Xenopus tropicalis: one gene and its partner. The protein of the gene in region 1 purifies or fractionates together with the protein of each later gene. This does not show direct contact. Links are inferred from orthologs where the notes say so. Each region holds a gene or a part of one and is shown in the gene's direction. Other genes may lie near its edges.

The links. Proteins that work in one complex are often made in the same cells at the same time.
Region 2: the proteins of rab31 (region 1) and gdi1 purify together in Homo sapiens (co-immunoprecipitation; 3 studies listed by BioGRID and IntAct, counting the BioPlex papers as one, with this or other methods). This does not show direct contact. The link is inferred for Xenopus tropicalis from reciprocal best matches to the Homo sapiens genes RAB31 and GDI1.

What each region holds. Positions count from the first base shown.
Region 1 is NC_030682.2:104,641,044-104,648,941, forward strand, and holds the start of rab31 (ras-related protein Rab-31), read left to right. Parts: upstream 1-2,594; 5' UTR 2,595-2,665; coding exon 2,666-2,701; intron 2,702-7,898. UniProt on the Homo sapiens protein: The small GTPases Rab are key regulators of intracellular membrane trafficking, from the formation of transport vesicles to their fusion with membranes.
Region 2 is NC_030684.2:140,694-148,776, forward strand, and holds the start of gdi1 (rab GDP dissociation inhibitor alpha), read left to right. Parts: upstream 1-2,903; 5' UTR 2,904-2,997; coding exon 2,998-3,042; intron 3,043-8,083. UniProt on the Homo sapiens protein: Regulates the GDP/GTP exchange reaction of most Rab proteins by inhibiting the dissociation of GDP from them, and the subsequent binding of GTP to them. Promotes the dissociation of GDP-bound Rab proteins from the membrane and inhibits their activation.

The sequences.
Region 1 (7,898 bases):
TCGTAACACTTTATGCTGAAGTTCTACTTACAGGACCCACAAATAGCTGAAGGCACAGGGACACTATGGGGCTCATTCAAATTGCCCCATGCAGTATGCAAAGTGCTAAAAAGGCTGCAATTAGCCATTTTTTTACATTTTTCCCACTGCATGGGGCACTGGTCTGTGCTAAGAATGAAGTGCAGTCTTCTTTAGGATGTGCTCAATTCAAAAGGGACAGGTGGGGGGAGGCACGTACGTGTTTCGTGCATCATTTTTAAAGGCACATGGAAGGAATGGCAGGATGTGCAGTGTACAGGGGGTACAAGTGCTTTGTAGATCAACATTAAGGGACGCGTTCTTGCACTCCCTGGTGTCATAATGACCCATAATGTAAGTAGCTGCAGACTGGGGTTACCAGATCATCTAAAAAAATTCAGGGACACACTCATCTAGAAAATCCAATTAGAATTGCTGTGTTGATTGCAATATAATTTACATTCAACCAGTGCATTGCAACATGCATTTACTAGATGCATCTCTAAGGGGCAGATTCATCAAAGTACGAATTCGAATCCCAAAATCGGTAAAATTCGGATTAGATACGATAATTTCTGATTATTGGAAATGTCATGAAAGTGCTTACAAAAAAATCGTAATAGCCACAATAATATCGTATTGGCGATCTGAAAGTCACTAAATTTTCGTATCTGAATGATCGTAAACAGCGGGAAAACTTTCTGACTTTGATCCTTCTGTGCATCTTTTTGGGAGCCTCCCATAGGACTCAATGGCACTCTGCAGCTCCAACCTGGCCAATAGAAAGTCACGTCAACGAAGCTTTAATGATTCTGAAACTTTCGTACTTGTTGCACCAATACAATTTTGTTGCATAAAATTTGTTGCAAAGTACAAAATAGTTGCTCAAATTAACGAAAAGATTGCAGAAAATACGCACAGTTCTATAAATTAGAAAAAATACACATTTTTTGTATTCGGAATCAATCGTACTTTAATAAATGTGCCCCTAAATGTTGGTAACCCTACTGCAGGCACCTGAACAGCTTTGGATATATTGTACCCTCATCGTACTAGAAAAAATATGTAAATGCCAGTGAGCAGTAATATAAAAAGACTCAGCAGCTTTGACCATACCGCTGCTTTAAATAAGATTTACCCAGAATTTTACTTGTATGAGCCAGCTGTTCAACATCTGTAGGCAGTTTTCCTAGGCTGTTCAGTTGTGGCACTCAGCATTACACTATATGTATATATATATATATGGATATTATGGTGATTATGGGTATTTCATGTGATGTTTTAATGTGGCCATTTGTATCTTGAGAAAGGTTCTAGGCCAGAGCCGAAACGTTGATCGAATGGCAATGTTATAATAAAGACTGAATTTTTAATCAAAAGCCCTTGGAGTGTGCTTATGACAGTTGTTGGAAGTTGTACATATTCCCTTAGCTGCACCCAGGCAATAATAAACAGTGGCTAAAGAGGAGTTCGGATCGTGATGCAGTTGTATATATACAGGGCTGCTGGCCAAATGGGTGCCCTAAGCAGAAATTTACTTTTGTGCCCCTCCCCCAAATTTTACGGAAGTAAAAATAAAATAATAAAAAAACACCTACTATAGGGGCCCCACACACAGAGCCCCCAATATCCCCCATAGACAATGCCCCCATAGTAAGTGCCCCCAATTGCCCCCATAGATTGATTGAACTATCTGGGACAGTGGGATGCGGTATAAAAACCGGCGGGACAGTGTTGGGGGGTATGTTATAATATCTAAAAATGATTTTTTGGAGCAGCTGGGATGGTACCCCCCTGGGAGTTGGTGCCCTATGCAGACTGAATACTCTGCTTATAGGGAGCAGCGGCCCTGTATATATATCCCTGAGGAAGAGCACAGTTGGTGCTCGAAATGTTGGATCTTTTTCATTAAATATTTTTTTGTTTTCTAACAAAGTCCCTGTGTGTGCGGCTCATTGTCTTGCTATACACATGGTTCTTGCAAGCACCCGGGGCATTTGATTATTATCAGGGTGTGCTCTGTTCTTTTCTGTATATATATATATATATATATATAGGTCTAACATGATTAAAATTCAGGTAGTCTGGCAGAGCTTAGTTATGATGTGGTATGTAATAATGTAAGCATATGTGGGAAATAATTTTTCTGTGGACTCATCATTTCCTGTTTTGGAGAAGCCCCAGGCTATGTTTATGTATGGGAATGCCAATGATGTTTGAGGCTGGGATGCATGTTAGGGAAGTAGGCTAGTTCTCCTAGAACATGGGGCGCATATAAACACTGCACAACCCATAGCACTGAAGGAAGGATATGAATGTGGCGCTGCCTGTGGCTGAAACATCCTAAGCAGCCGTAAATCCTGGGTCCCCCTGCAGATTTTCCTACAGGAGATGCTGCATTTCTGAGGGATTACGAAAGCACGGACTGAGTGCTTGTCTGCACGCCATGTGACAAGCTGCCCATAAATAGCCCAGACTGGTTTCCGTTTGTTTTGGAGGAATTAAATCCTCCTCTTCCCCCCCCCCCAACTTTTGGTCAGGAAATGATTGCATGCGATCCGCGGCAGAGGAGCGGAGCCTGAGCTGTGTTTTGTGGAATCCTATTGTGCTGCTGAGGATGGAATGCTAAAGACAGAAACAGTAAAGAATGGCTATCCGAGAACTGAAAGTTTGCCTTCTGGGGGTGAGTGCGCTTTGCTTTCTTTATGAGGGAGGGAGCGAATACAATAGGACAATAAAAGGATTCGGATAGAGAACTGTTGCCCTATTGCCCTATAGAAGTGTATGCTGCAGCTGAGTAATTAGCTTCTAACACCTTCTCCTGCTGTGTGTGACAGACAAAGAAGCGTTACAATACCCAGAGTTCTAATGGGCTTGGTAGTACCGAGGAGCCAACTGGAACTGACCACAACAAATACTTTCCAACTTAGCTATTTTGTTAATTGTTTACAATAGTTGTACTGAACAAACAAAAAATACCTTTTCATGTATCCATAGCTCAATAATTAAATTGAGCTCTAAAAGAGTTTCCTCCCTCACACTCAAAAAGCTCACTTTGCATTTTTTTTTATTGTGACAGAGTTGCAAGAACGTATTCCTTTGTCAGAGAGTAAAGGGGAACTCCACCCAAAACAGTTTTATGTACAGAAAACAAAATGTAATTACAAGCAACTTATTGATATACAGTAAAGAAATATTTTTTAAAAAGTTATTTGCAAATGTCATTGCCATGGATATCAGTTTTCATCTGGCTGTTTATCTCTTTATCTTATCTGCACTTATGGAGTTAACTTGAAATAATGTAGCAGAAGCCATGTAATGGAGAACAGAATATGACAAAAAAAACTGCTGTCAACTGCAATTACGCTTACAAACTTTATAAAACAAATTTGATAAAACCATTGAAAATATTTTATAAATGTGCATTGGGAAATTGCTTAGAATGATATTTTCTTTCATTTTGGGAGGACCACTTTAACACTAGTGAAGTTGTTTATATTTTGTTTGGCCTTCCTTGTTTAGCTTTTATGAGGGTGAATGCCCCCTCCATGACCCAGTGCACCTAAAAGAGAACCTTGTCCTAGACAGATTTGTGCAGAACTTTACTAGCTGTAGCATAAAGTTGACCCCAGAAACCTTAATAGGCATTTTTTTAAATTAACAATTAAATAGCTCTCTTAGCACAAGCTATGTGGGTCCCCTCACCCCAGTCTGAGCTCAGAGGAGGTAGACAGGGAGGGGAAAGGGGGCAGAAATGGGTTGGCTGCCCCATGTGTTAAGGGGCAGAAACTCCTCTCTTCTCCTGGGAAAATTTAACATAGTAAGTTTTGTGAATGCATACTTATGAAATGAGGGGCAAATTATACTATGCCCTGTTCCTACCCTGCCTTGCCCAGGGCACATCCTCATCTGCCAAAATTCCACCTACTTTTCCCATCCTTCTTCATGTCTTTGATGTGGGACTGTTCCTAAAAAAATGGACCATTGGGAAGTATGTGAATGTGATAGGGACCTTAGATTGTAAACCACCATGACCCTTTGTCTGTAGTCTACTAGGTCTCAAGGAGGTTTGGAAAAGAGATCTTGAAATTTCTGTTCCATCCGCTCTCTCTGCTTTTCAACCTTTGTCCTCAGCTTCCTTGTTTCAGTTAGAGAGTGGCGTGCCAAATGCCTGATAATGTTTCCAGCTGTATCATTTCTCTTTTCTTTCCACATAATTGTGTGTATATTTATACAAAAAAAAATATATATATAAATATATATTTTTTTTAATCACACAATATACCCCAGCCACAAGTAAAGGAGCAATAAGGGAAACAAAATCTCACTCCTTGGTGCTGGGTTCTACACCTTGTGACAGGGGTGTGTGAGGCCCAACATGGCTGCCCCCCTGGCGACCAACTGCCTCACCCCCCCCCCCCCCGAATGCGTGTACCTTATGTTTAAGTTTGAAGTGATCAGGGAGGGAGGTCAGCTGGGAAGCACCAATGTTCCGGATAGGGTCTGGGTCAGTGGGGCCCAGCGGGTTTTTTCCCACTGTCTAGCTGGCCCAGTCAGACCTTGTTCGTGACAGATTTGTAAGGTGTATAGTATATTACTTTTGGGCAAAAAGCAGGTTTAAAGTACAGTGTTTTGCTGAAGGATATATGTTTATATTCCAGATTTGCTGCTTTTTTCATTTTTTTAATGACTGAAATTACACTCACATTGTAGTGAATGTATGAGAATCTGTCTTCCAGATTACAGGTGGTTCTTATCATTGTTCAGCTATAAAAGGGGCAGTATAAGCTAAAACATGTCTTGGCTAAAAATTGGTGCAGTAAATAATAATAAAGAATCTGCCTATTCTTTTTCTTAAATCCATATTTATATTTTTTGCCATTATAAATCATGAATTAAAAATTGGATTGGTTTTGACTAAACTCACTCCAGCACTTCCAACAGGATAATTTATTGTAAACTAGATAAGTAACTCTGAATAAACAAACCCTAAACTAAAGTCTTGGTTAGCCTTTGCCTTGTGGAACATCTCATTATACAAATGCCTATGGACTGGTAAATAAGGTTTGTGTCAGACTGGGCACTTGTCGCTCCCCAAAATACCCTTTCCTCTGGATGAATGAAATTTACCACAAGTAAAACATACCATTATGCCTGTGCTTTGCATGTGAATTCTGTGCTGCTGTTCATATAATTTGTTCTGGCGTCTTACCAACAGTTTCAACATAAGTCCTGAAAAATTAAGGCCTCTACTCAGGACATGTTTTATCCATACAATGTTTTCCTATGGTCTGTGGTTTTGTTTAAGCTGTAAACAGAGCCAGAGAAGGTTCCTGTTGCCTTGTAAAATATGCTCATGCATGTATGGACAACCTAACAGACTGGCACTATTTTTTATATTCAGTCAAAGTAATGGAGGTTCCCACTATGTAAATGCTTTGATTCATTATTTCAGGGAAAACTAGGGTAAAAACACTTAAAGGGTTACTGTACCCTTTAACAGTTATTTCTTTTCTGCTTTCCCCTAATAAAATGAGTAGCTTGCAAAGGCCTGAATTGTGAAGCCACATAACTTTTGCTGTTATGTTTTTTCTCTGCACTGTTTTAGTCCAAGTATTATATTTGACTGCATGTGAACCAGGACACTAAGGGATGTATTCATTATGCTGTGTAAAAAGCATAAAGCAAAAAAAGTGAAGTATTACCAGTGATGTTGCCCTGGGCAACCAATCAGCAACTAGATTTCAAAAGTTAGAAAACCAAAACAAAAACAAAGCTTCTCATTGGCTGCTTATGAGCAACATCACCAGTAATGTTTCACTCCACTTTTTACACAGCATGATAAATATACCCGTAATTCTACTTACTGCAGAAATTAGGCATGAAACAGGATTGGCATAAATGCAAAAATGTATTTTCTTGTCAGTGTTTCTTCAGCAAAACATTCTAGTTCCTATGTCTTAGCAGTGATACTCCTTCATGGATACAGCAAGGATTTGAATTACTGTTAGCATTTATTTAAAGGAAATATATAGGATAAACAAAACAACCTCTAATCTTGTAGGCAATAGTGAATAATATATGGCCCCTTTATTGGAGCTCCTTATAGAACCCCTTAGGTCCCTGTCCGTGTTTTAAATGATGGGTGGGTGTGTCCTAACGGTTCCTGCCAAAAGCACGATAGAAGGGGGATAGCCAATCACAGCCCTGCAGTCACACAAGCAAAGACAGGCTTCTGTTTCCTTTTTAAATTTTGACTTGCATCCTTCTTTAAATAAAGAGAACTTATGTTTAGTACAGGGCAATACATATACTGTTACAGACTTGCTATCCCCCTATATAAAGGGTACTTCAAAACCCATTAAGTAGTAATGTATGTCCTTAAAGGAAAACTATACCCCCAGAATACAGTAAATACTTAACCAACAGATATCATATATTATATTAAGAGTCTTGCCAAACTGAAATACATATATCAGTAAATATTTCCCTTTACATCTTTTACCTTAAGCTGTCATTTTGTGATGGTCTGTGTGCTCCCTCAGAGATCACCTGCCAGGAAATACTGCAGCTAACTGTAAGGCTGATGGCCCATGGAGAGAGTTAGTTGCCCGCAATAGATCTCTGCTACCGCGGGCGACTAACAAATTTGAACTGCCAATCTTTGCGCCACTTTGGAAAGCCAAAGTGATGCATAGGCCTTTCTACTGGCAACTCCTATTGTTGCTGGTGGAAAGGCATTTCTGAGCGGTTAGTTGCTCACGGTAGCAGAGATCTATTGACTCGCTCTGTGGGCCATCAGCTTGACAAGAAGGGTTGGAGTAAAAGACAGAACTCTGTCCATTAATTGGTTTGTTTGTGTGCACTGTGAATCCTATGATCCCAGGGGCAGCCATTAGTACTTAAAACTGCCATTTTTCAGTTTAAGATTATCCATTGGCACTTTTAAGCAGTATATTTTTATAGAGACCTACATTGTTCAGGAGTATAGTTTTCCTTTAATGAGGTGGGCAGTGCAACAGAAATGGAGGGATCTTGCACTCATGCAATTATAAGCAACACTAAAAAACTGCTTATAAAATTTCTTTGTGTCATTGCAATGTACAGAGATCGGTTTGGATAAGGTTTAGAAGCAGTTCTTACCGTTACATTACACTGGCTGCCTTCTCAATTGCAAATTTGCACACATCTGCAAGTCTTTTTTCACAGAAGGAAACTGGAAAATTTGCTGTAACTTTATCCTTACGGTCAAAGTTGGATCACCTGCTACAAATTCAAAACCAACTTCAAAAGAACTTCATTTGAAGCGAGTGTTACTGTACTGAGCCAAGCAAATAGATCTGACTGAGTGCTCAAAGCCATTCTGGCAGCACCTTAAGGGATTACTTAGCAAGACCCAGGGCAGAAGTTAAAGAGCCTTGCACTGTAGCAGAGAGACCTGCTGCAAGTATGCTGTGCCTATTGACACTGGGAGTCTGGGAACCTTGGAGATACCTCCTGGTCAGAAATTGCTGGTAATTCCAGGGTTCCTCTGTGTCAATAGGTGTAGCAGTGCTTGATGGAAGGCAGGAAGGTCTGAGCAACGCCAAATCCAACCATACAGATGTGCAAAGAGAACATATAGATGCAGTACCTTTAATGAATGGGGTTTAACACTCAACTTACTGTGGGGAAGAGTGTGGGAGCACAACTGTGCCTGTGGCTGTAAATGACCCCTATTAATACTACCAGGTGAACCACCCCTTGGAAACTTTGTACTGAAACTTACCTTACTTTAAACTACGTTAAGTTGGCAGGAAATGTATTAAATGTCGCACAGCACTGATATAATTAAGTGGGTCAAATACCCATTATACCAAATATTTGGAGGCCAAATTATA
Region 2 (8,083 bases), on another chromosome or scaffold:
GCCCCCTAGGGTGCTGGCGCTCATTACCATGTGGGGTACTGCCCCTAGGCAGTGGCTTCAGGTTATTCTTGCCCTGAGCCCCTGTGTGTGGCACCGTAACCTACCTGGGCTGGCAGTCACATGCTCGTGGGTAAGTGGTACACTGCAGGAATGGCAGATTAATGTTGGTGTGTGTATGTGTGTGCGCGTAACCCTTCACTGTATAACCGAGAGGCAAATAAAAGTGTTTTGTGCTTTGTGTTTCCCGTCTGTGGCCCCAGTTATTTCCAGTTTCACTTGTTTCCTACCAGTATCATAGAAGGGGCGCCGCTGGTAGGAGAGCCTCGTGGGTAGATAAATGGATACACTTGGCAATATGTGGCCCTGGCTGGCAGAGAGAGAGAGTTAAATAAGATGTTTATCTTACAGTTACCCAGTAGCCATTTGTACTTCTTTGTTGTATTTTACTTTTTGCTTTGCTGCTCTTCAGTTATCTGGTTGCTATGGTTCCACTGACCTTAGCAACCAGACAGTGGCTGAAATGGCAGCAGCCTTGATCCTGTTTTGGGAAAGGATAGCATTAGGGTGAGTTTGATAGGCACACATAAAAGCCAATCAGTGACAGCGAGCAACATGCAGTAACCAATCGGGCCCTTGCTTTCAGTACAAGCTACCCTCTCGTGCTTTGTTATCAGGGTTAAACCTGCCCTGTTACCGTGTAACTACCTACAGGCCTCATTGGCACAACCCAGTTCCCTAGGTAAGGGCTGGCACTGAGTCACTAAGGTGCGCTCGGCCTGTTAGCTGCACGGGGAGGGCACCATTAGTGCACGTTTAGTAGTGAGGGAGGTAAGTGGCCGGGGCCAGCAGCAGCTTCTTTATATGAGATACCCTCACTGATTCGCTTATACAAGATCTTCTTCCGCTGTGCCCACCTATGGGTTAATCCGATTGGTTCAGGGACTGCATCAACAAGTCCATGTGGCCCCTGTTCCGATGGAAATATCAAACCTGTCCGATGGAGATCTGCCCGATTTCAGGCCAGATGTGGGTCGGGGAGACCCATTAGTGGTGCCCCATACATGGGCAGATAAGCTGCGCAATCATCCTAAAGGGCCAATACTGGCAGCTTCGCCCCATGGATGGCCACCTTAACAGGCAGGACTCCCAATGAGAGAGGGGTAATTGGGCAGATAACAGGCAGGACTCCCAATGAGAGAGGGGTAATTGGGTAGACAACAGGCAGGACTCTCAGTGAGAGCAGGGTAATTGGGCAGATAGCAGACAGGACACCCAATGAGAAGGGGTAATTGGGCAGATAGCAGACAGGACACCCAATGAGAGGGGGGTAATTGGGTAGATAACAGGCAGGACTCCCAATGAGAGAGGGGTAATTGGGTAGACAACAGGCAGGACTCTCAGTGAGAGCAGGGTAATTGGGCAGATAGCAGACAGGACACCCAATGAGAAGGGGTAATTGGGCAGATAGCAGACAGGACACCCAATGAGAGAGGTGTAATTGGGTAGACAACAGGCAGGACTCTCAGTGAGAGCAGGGTAATTGGGAAGATAGCAGACAGGACACCCAATGAGAAGGGGTAATTGGGCAGATAGCAGACAGGACACCCAATGAGAAGGGGTAATTGGATAGATAACAGACAGGACTCCCAATGAGAGAGGGGTAATTGGATAGACAACAGGCAGAACTCTCAGTGAGAGCAGGGTAATTGGGCAGATAGCAGACAGGACACCCAATGAGAAGGGGTAATTGGGCAGATAGCAGACAGGACACCCAATGAGAAGGGGTAATTGGGTAGATAACAGGCAGGACACCCAATGAAAGAGGGGTAATTGGGCAGATAACAGGCAGGACACCCAATGAGAGAGGGGCAATTGGGTAGATAACAGGCAGGACTCCCAAAGAGAAGGGGTAATTGGGTAGATAACAGGCAGGACTCCCAATGAGAGAGGGGTAATTGGGCAGATAACAGGCAGGACTCCCAATGAGAGAGGGGTAATTGGGCAGATAACAGGCAGGACTCCCAATGAAAGGGGGGTAATTGGGCAGATAACAGACAGGACTCCCAATGAGAGAGGGGTAATTGGGCAGATAACAGACAGGACACCCAATGAGAGAGGGGTAATTGGGCAGATAACAGGCAGGACTCCCAATGAGAGAGGGGTAATTGGGCAGATAACAGGCAGGACACCCAATGAGAGAGGGGTAATTGGGCAGATAACAGGCAGGACTCCCAATGAGAGAGGGGTAATTGAGCAGATAACAGGCAGGACACCCAATGAGAGAGGGGTAATTGGGCAGATAACAGGCAGGACTCCCAATGAAAGGGGGGTAATTGGGCAGATAACAGGCAGGACTCCCAATGAGAGAGGGGTAATTGGGCAGATAACAGGCAGGACTCCCAATGAGAGGGGGGTAATTGGGCAGATAACAGACAGGACTCCCAATGAGAGAGGGGTAATTGGGCAGATAACAGACAGGACACCCAATGAGAGAGGGGTAATTGGGCAGATAACAGGCAGGACTCCCAATGAGAGAGGGGTAATTGGGCAGATAACAGGCAGGACACCCAATGAGAGAGGGGTAATTGGGCAGATAACAGGCAGGACACCCAATGAGAGAGGGGCTATTACACAGATAACAGCCAGTGCCCCACCCTCCCATCTTTAGCCCCCCCAGTATCCCTTGCTGGGAAGATGCAGACGCGGAAGGATCTATTTTCACAGCCGCATAACTAAGGTCACACGCCCTCTTCCTTATTGTCCCTCTGTGGTGTCTGTGGGCCCCGCATGGGGGGCTGTTAGGGACTAAGTGAGACGGTGCCCGGCAGTGCAGCTCGGTACTAGCGATACTGGCTGTTGGGGGCCGTAGGGTGGGGCAGGGGGTGGGGTTAGAGGAAGGAACTATTTGCTGGCGCGGAAGGAGACAGGGCGGTGAAGCTGTTCCTCCATCTTTGGTCCAGCTCAGCTTCCAGCTCCGCACTCTCCCCTCACGGCGCGATGGATGAGGAGTACGATGTGATCGTGTTGGGTACCGGCCTGACGGTGAGTGGCCATGGGGGCCTGGCTGGGTACTGGGGGGTCCTACTCGCTCTTTTATTCTGGGGCCCCAGGAAAGGCTTCAGGGGGCAGTTACACGGGCTGGAGTGGGTAGTGCCTGGGGCAATTACTGTTATAGGCCTAGTAATGCCCTATGGGTATGGGGGCAGGGCCCCTCACTGTCAGCTGGGGGCATTGATGGGATGTATGGGGGCACTGACATGTACTGGGGGGAAATAACATGAATACAGGGCCGTGCCACTCTCTGGTACAGGCTGGGGGCACTGACACGTACTGGGGGGAAATAACATGAATACAGGGCCGTGCCACTCTCTGGTACAGGCTGGGGGCACTGACATGTACTGGGGGGAAATAACATGAATACAGGGCCGTGCCACTCTCTGGTACAGGCTGGGGGCACTGACACGTACTGGGGGAAATAACAGGAATACAGGGCCGTGCCACTCTCTGGTACAGGCTGGGGGCACCGACATGTACTGGGGGGAAATAACAGGAATACAGGGCCGTGCCACTCTCTGGTACAGGCTGGGGGCACTGACATGTACTGGGGGGGAAATAACATGAATACAGGGCCGTGCCACTCTCTGGTACAGGCTGGGGGCACCGACATGTACTGGGGGGAAATAACAGGAATACAGGGCCGTGCCACTCGCTGGTACAGGCTGGGGGCACTGACATGTACTGGGGGAAATAACATGAATACAGGGCTGTGCCCACTCTCTGGTACAGGCTGGGGGCACTGACATGTACTGGGGGGAAATAACATGAATACAGGGCCGTGCCACTCTCTGGTACAGGCTGGGGGCACCGACATGTACTGGGGGGAAATAACATGAATACAGGGCCGTGCCACTCTCTGGTACAGGCTGGGGGCACCGACATGTACTGGGGGGAAATAACAGGAATACAGGGCCGTGCCACTCTCTGGTACAGGCTGGGGGCACCGACATGTACTGGGGGGAAATAACATGAATACAGGGCCGTGCCACTCGCTGGTACAGGCTGGGGGCACTGACATGTACTGGGGGGAAATAACATGAATACAGGGCCGTGCCACTCTCTGGTACAGGCTGGGGGCACCGACATGTACTGGGGGGAAATAACATGAATACAGGGCCGTGCCACTCGCTGGTACAGGCTGGGGGCACTGACATGTACTGGGGGGAAATAACAGGAATACAGGGCCGTGCCACTCTCTGGTACAGGCTGGGGGCACTGACATGTACTGGGGGAAATAACATGAATACAGGGCCGTGCCACTCTCTGGTACAGGCTGGGGGCACTGACATGTACTGGGGGGAAATAACATGAATACAGGGCCGTGCCACTCTCTGGTACAGGCTGGGGGCACTGACATGTACTGGGGGGAAATAACAGGAATACAGGGCCGTGCCACTCTCTGGTACAGGCTGGGGGCACTGACATGTACTGGGGGGAAATAACAGGAATACAGGGCCGTGCCACTCTCTGGTACAGGCTGGGGGCACTGACATGTACTGGGGAGAAATAACAGGAATACAGGGCCGTGCCACTCTCTGGTACAGGCTGGGGGAACTGACATGTACTGGGGGGAAATAACATGAATACAGGGCCGTGCCACTCGCTGGTACAGGCTGGGGGCACTGACATGTACTGGGGAGAAATAACAGGAATACAGGGCCGTGCCACTCTCTGGTACAGGCTGGGGGCACCGACATGTACTGGGGGGAAATAACATGAATACAGGGCCGTGCCACTCGCTGGTACAGGCTGGGGGCACTGACATGTACTGGGGGGAAATAACATGAATACAGGGCCGTGCCACTCGCTGGTACAGGCTGGGGGCACTGACATGTACTGGGGGAAATAACAGGAATACAGGGCCGTGCCACTCTCTGGTACAGGCTGGGGGCACTGACATGTACTGGGGGGAAATAACAGGAATACAGGGCCGTGCCACTCTCTGGTACAGGCTGGGGGCACTGACATGTACTGGGGAGAAATAACAGGAATACAGGGCCGTGCCACTCGCTGGTACAGGCTGGGGGCACTGACATGTACTGGGGGGAAATAACATGAATACAGGGCCGTGCCACTCGCTGGTACAGGCTGGGGGCACCGACATGTACTGGGGGAAATAACATGAATACAGGGCCGTGCCACTCTCTGGTACAGGCTGGGGGCACCGACATGTACTGGGGGGAAATAACATGAATACAGGGCCGTGCCACTCTCTGGTACAGGCTGGGGGCACTGACATGTACTGGGGGGAAATAACAGGAATACAGGGCCGTGCCACTCGCTGGTACAGGCTGGGGGCACTGACATGTACTGGGGGGAAATAACAGGAATACAGGGCCGTGCCACTCTCTGGTACAGGCTGGGGGCACTGACATGTACTGGGGGGAAATAACAGGAATACAGGGCCGTGCCACTCTCTGGTACAGGCTGGGGGCACTGACATGTACTGGGGGGAAATAACAGGAATACAGGGCCGTGCCACTCTCTGGTACAGGCTGGGGGCACTGACATGTACTGGGGGGAAATAACAGGAATACAGGGCCGTGCCACTCTCTGGTACAGGCTGGGGGCACTGACATGTACTGGGGGAAATAACAGGAATACAGGGCCGTGCCACACTCTGGTACAGGCTGGGGGCACTGACATGTACTGGGGGGAAATAACAGGAATACAGGGCCGTGCCACTCTCTGGTACAGGCTGGGGGCACTGACATGTACTGGGGGGAAAATAACAGGAATACAGGGCCGTGCCACTCGCTGGTACAGGCTGGGGGCACCGACATGTACTGGGGGGAAATAACATGAATACAGGGCCGTGCCACTCTCTGGTACAGGCTGGGGGCACCGACATGTACTGGGGGGAAATAACATGAATACAGGGCCGTGCCACTCTCTGGTACAGGCTGGGGGCACCGACATGTACTGGGGGGAAATAACAGGAATACAGGGCCGTGCCACTCGCTGGTACAGGCTGGGGGCACTGACATGTACTGGGGGGAAATAACAGGAATACAGGGCCGTGCCACTCTCTGGTACAGGCTGGGGGCACTGACATGTACTGGGGGGAAATAACAGGAATACAGGGCCGTGCCACTCTCTGGTACAGGCTGGGGGCACTGACATGTACTGGGGGGAAATAACAGGAATACAGGGCCGTGCCACTCTCTGGTACAGGCTGGGGGCACTGACATGTACTGGGGGGAAATAACAGGAATACAGGGCCGTGCCACTCTCTGGTACAGGCTGGGGGCACTGACATGTACTGGGGGGAAATAACAGGAATACAGGGCCGTGCCACTCTCTGGTACAGGCTGGGGGCACTGACATGTACTGGGGGGAAATAACAGGAATACAGGGCCGTGCCACTCTCTGGTACAGGCTGGGGGCACTGACATGTACTGGGGGGAAATTACATGAATACAGGGCCGTGCCACTCTCTGGTACAGGCTGGGGGCACTGACATGTACTGGGGGGAAATAACATGAATACAGGGCCGTGCCACTCTCTGGTACAGGCTGGGGGCACTGACATGTACTGGGGGGAAATAACATGAATACAGGGCCGTGCCACTCTCTGGTACAGGCTGGGGGCACTGACATGTACTGGGGGAAATAACAGGAATACAGGGCCGTGCCACTCTCTGGTACAGGCTGGGGGCACTGACATGTACTGGGGGAAATAACAGGAATACAGGGCCGTGCCACTCGCTGGTACAGGCTGGGGGCACTGACATGTACTGGGGGAAATAACATGAATACAGGGCCGTGCCACTCTCTGGTACAGGCTGGGGGCACTGACATGTACTGGGGGGAAATAACATGAATACAGGGCCGTGCCACTCTCTGGTACAGGCTGGGGGCACTGACATGTACTGGGGGGAAATAACAGGAATACAGGGCCGTGCCACTCTCTGGTACAGGCTGGGGGCACTGACATGTACTGGGGGGAAATAACAGGAATACAGGGCCGTGCCAACTCTCTGGTACAGGCTGGGGGCACTGACATGTACTGGGGGGAAATAACAGGAATACAGGGCCGTGCCACTCTCTGGTACAGGCTGGGGGCACTGACATGTACTGGGGGAAATAACATGAATACAGGGCCGTGCCACTCTCTGGTACAGGCTGGGGGCACTGACATGTACTGGGGGGAAATTACATGAATACAGGGCCGTGCCACTCTCTGGTACAGGCTGGGGGCACTGACATGTACTGGGGGGAAATAACAGGAATACAGGGCCGTGCCACTCTCTGGTACAGGCTGGGGGCACCGACATGTACTGGGGAGAAATAACAGGAATACAGGGCCGTGCCACTCTCTGGTACAGGCTGGGGGCACCGACATGTACTGGGGGGAAATAACAGGAATACAGGGCCGTGCCACTCTCTGGTACAGGCTGGGGGCACCGACATGTACTGGGGGGAAATAACAGGAATACAGGGCCGTGCCACTCTCTGGTACAGGCTGGGGGCACTGACATGTACTGGGGGGAAATAACAGGAATACAGGGCCGTGCCACTCTCTGGTACAGGCTGGGGGCACTGACATGTACTGGGGGGAAATAACAGGAATACAGGGCCGTGCCACTCTCTGGTACAGGCTGGGGGCACTGACATGTACTGGGGGGAAATAACATGAATACAGGGCCGTGCCACTCTCTGGTACAGGCTGGGGGCACCGACATGTACTGGGGGGAAATAACAGGAATACAGGGCCGTGCCACTCTCTGGTACAGGCTGGGGGCACCGACATGTACTGGGGTGAAATAACATGAATACAGGGCCGTGCCACTCGCTGGTACAGGCTGGGGGCACTGACATGTACTGGGGGGAAATTACATGAATACAGGGCCGTGCCACTCTCTGGTGCCAGCTTAGCTATGGATTTATATGGACCACCCAAGGTGGGTGATGGTACCTGGGTCTATATGGACAGGTTTCACGGTGTTCTTATGAGAGTGCCAGCTTAGCTATGGAGTTATATGGACCACCCAAGGTGGGTGATGGTACCTGGGTCTATATGGACA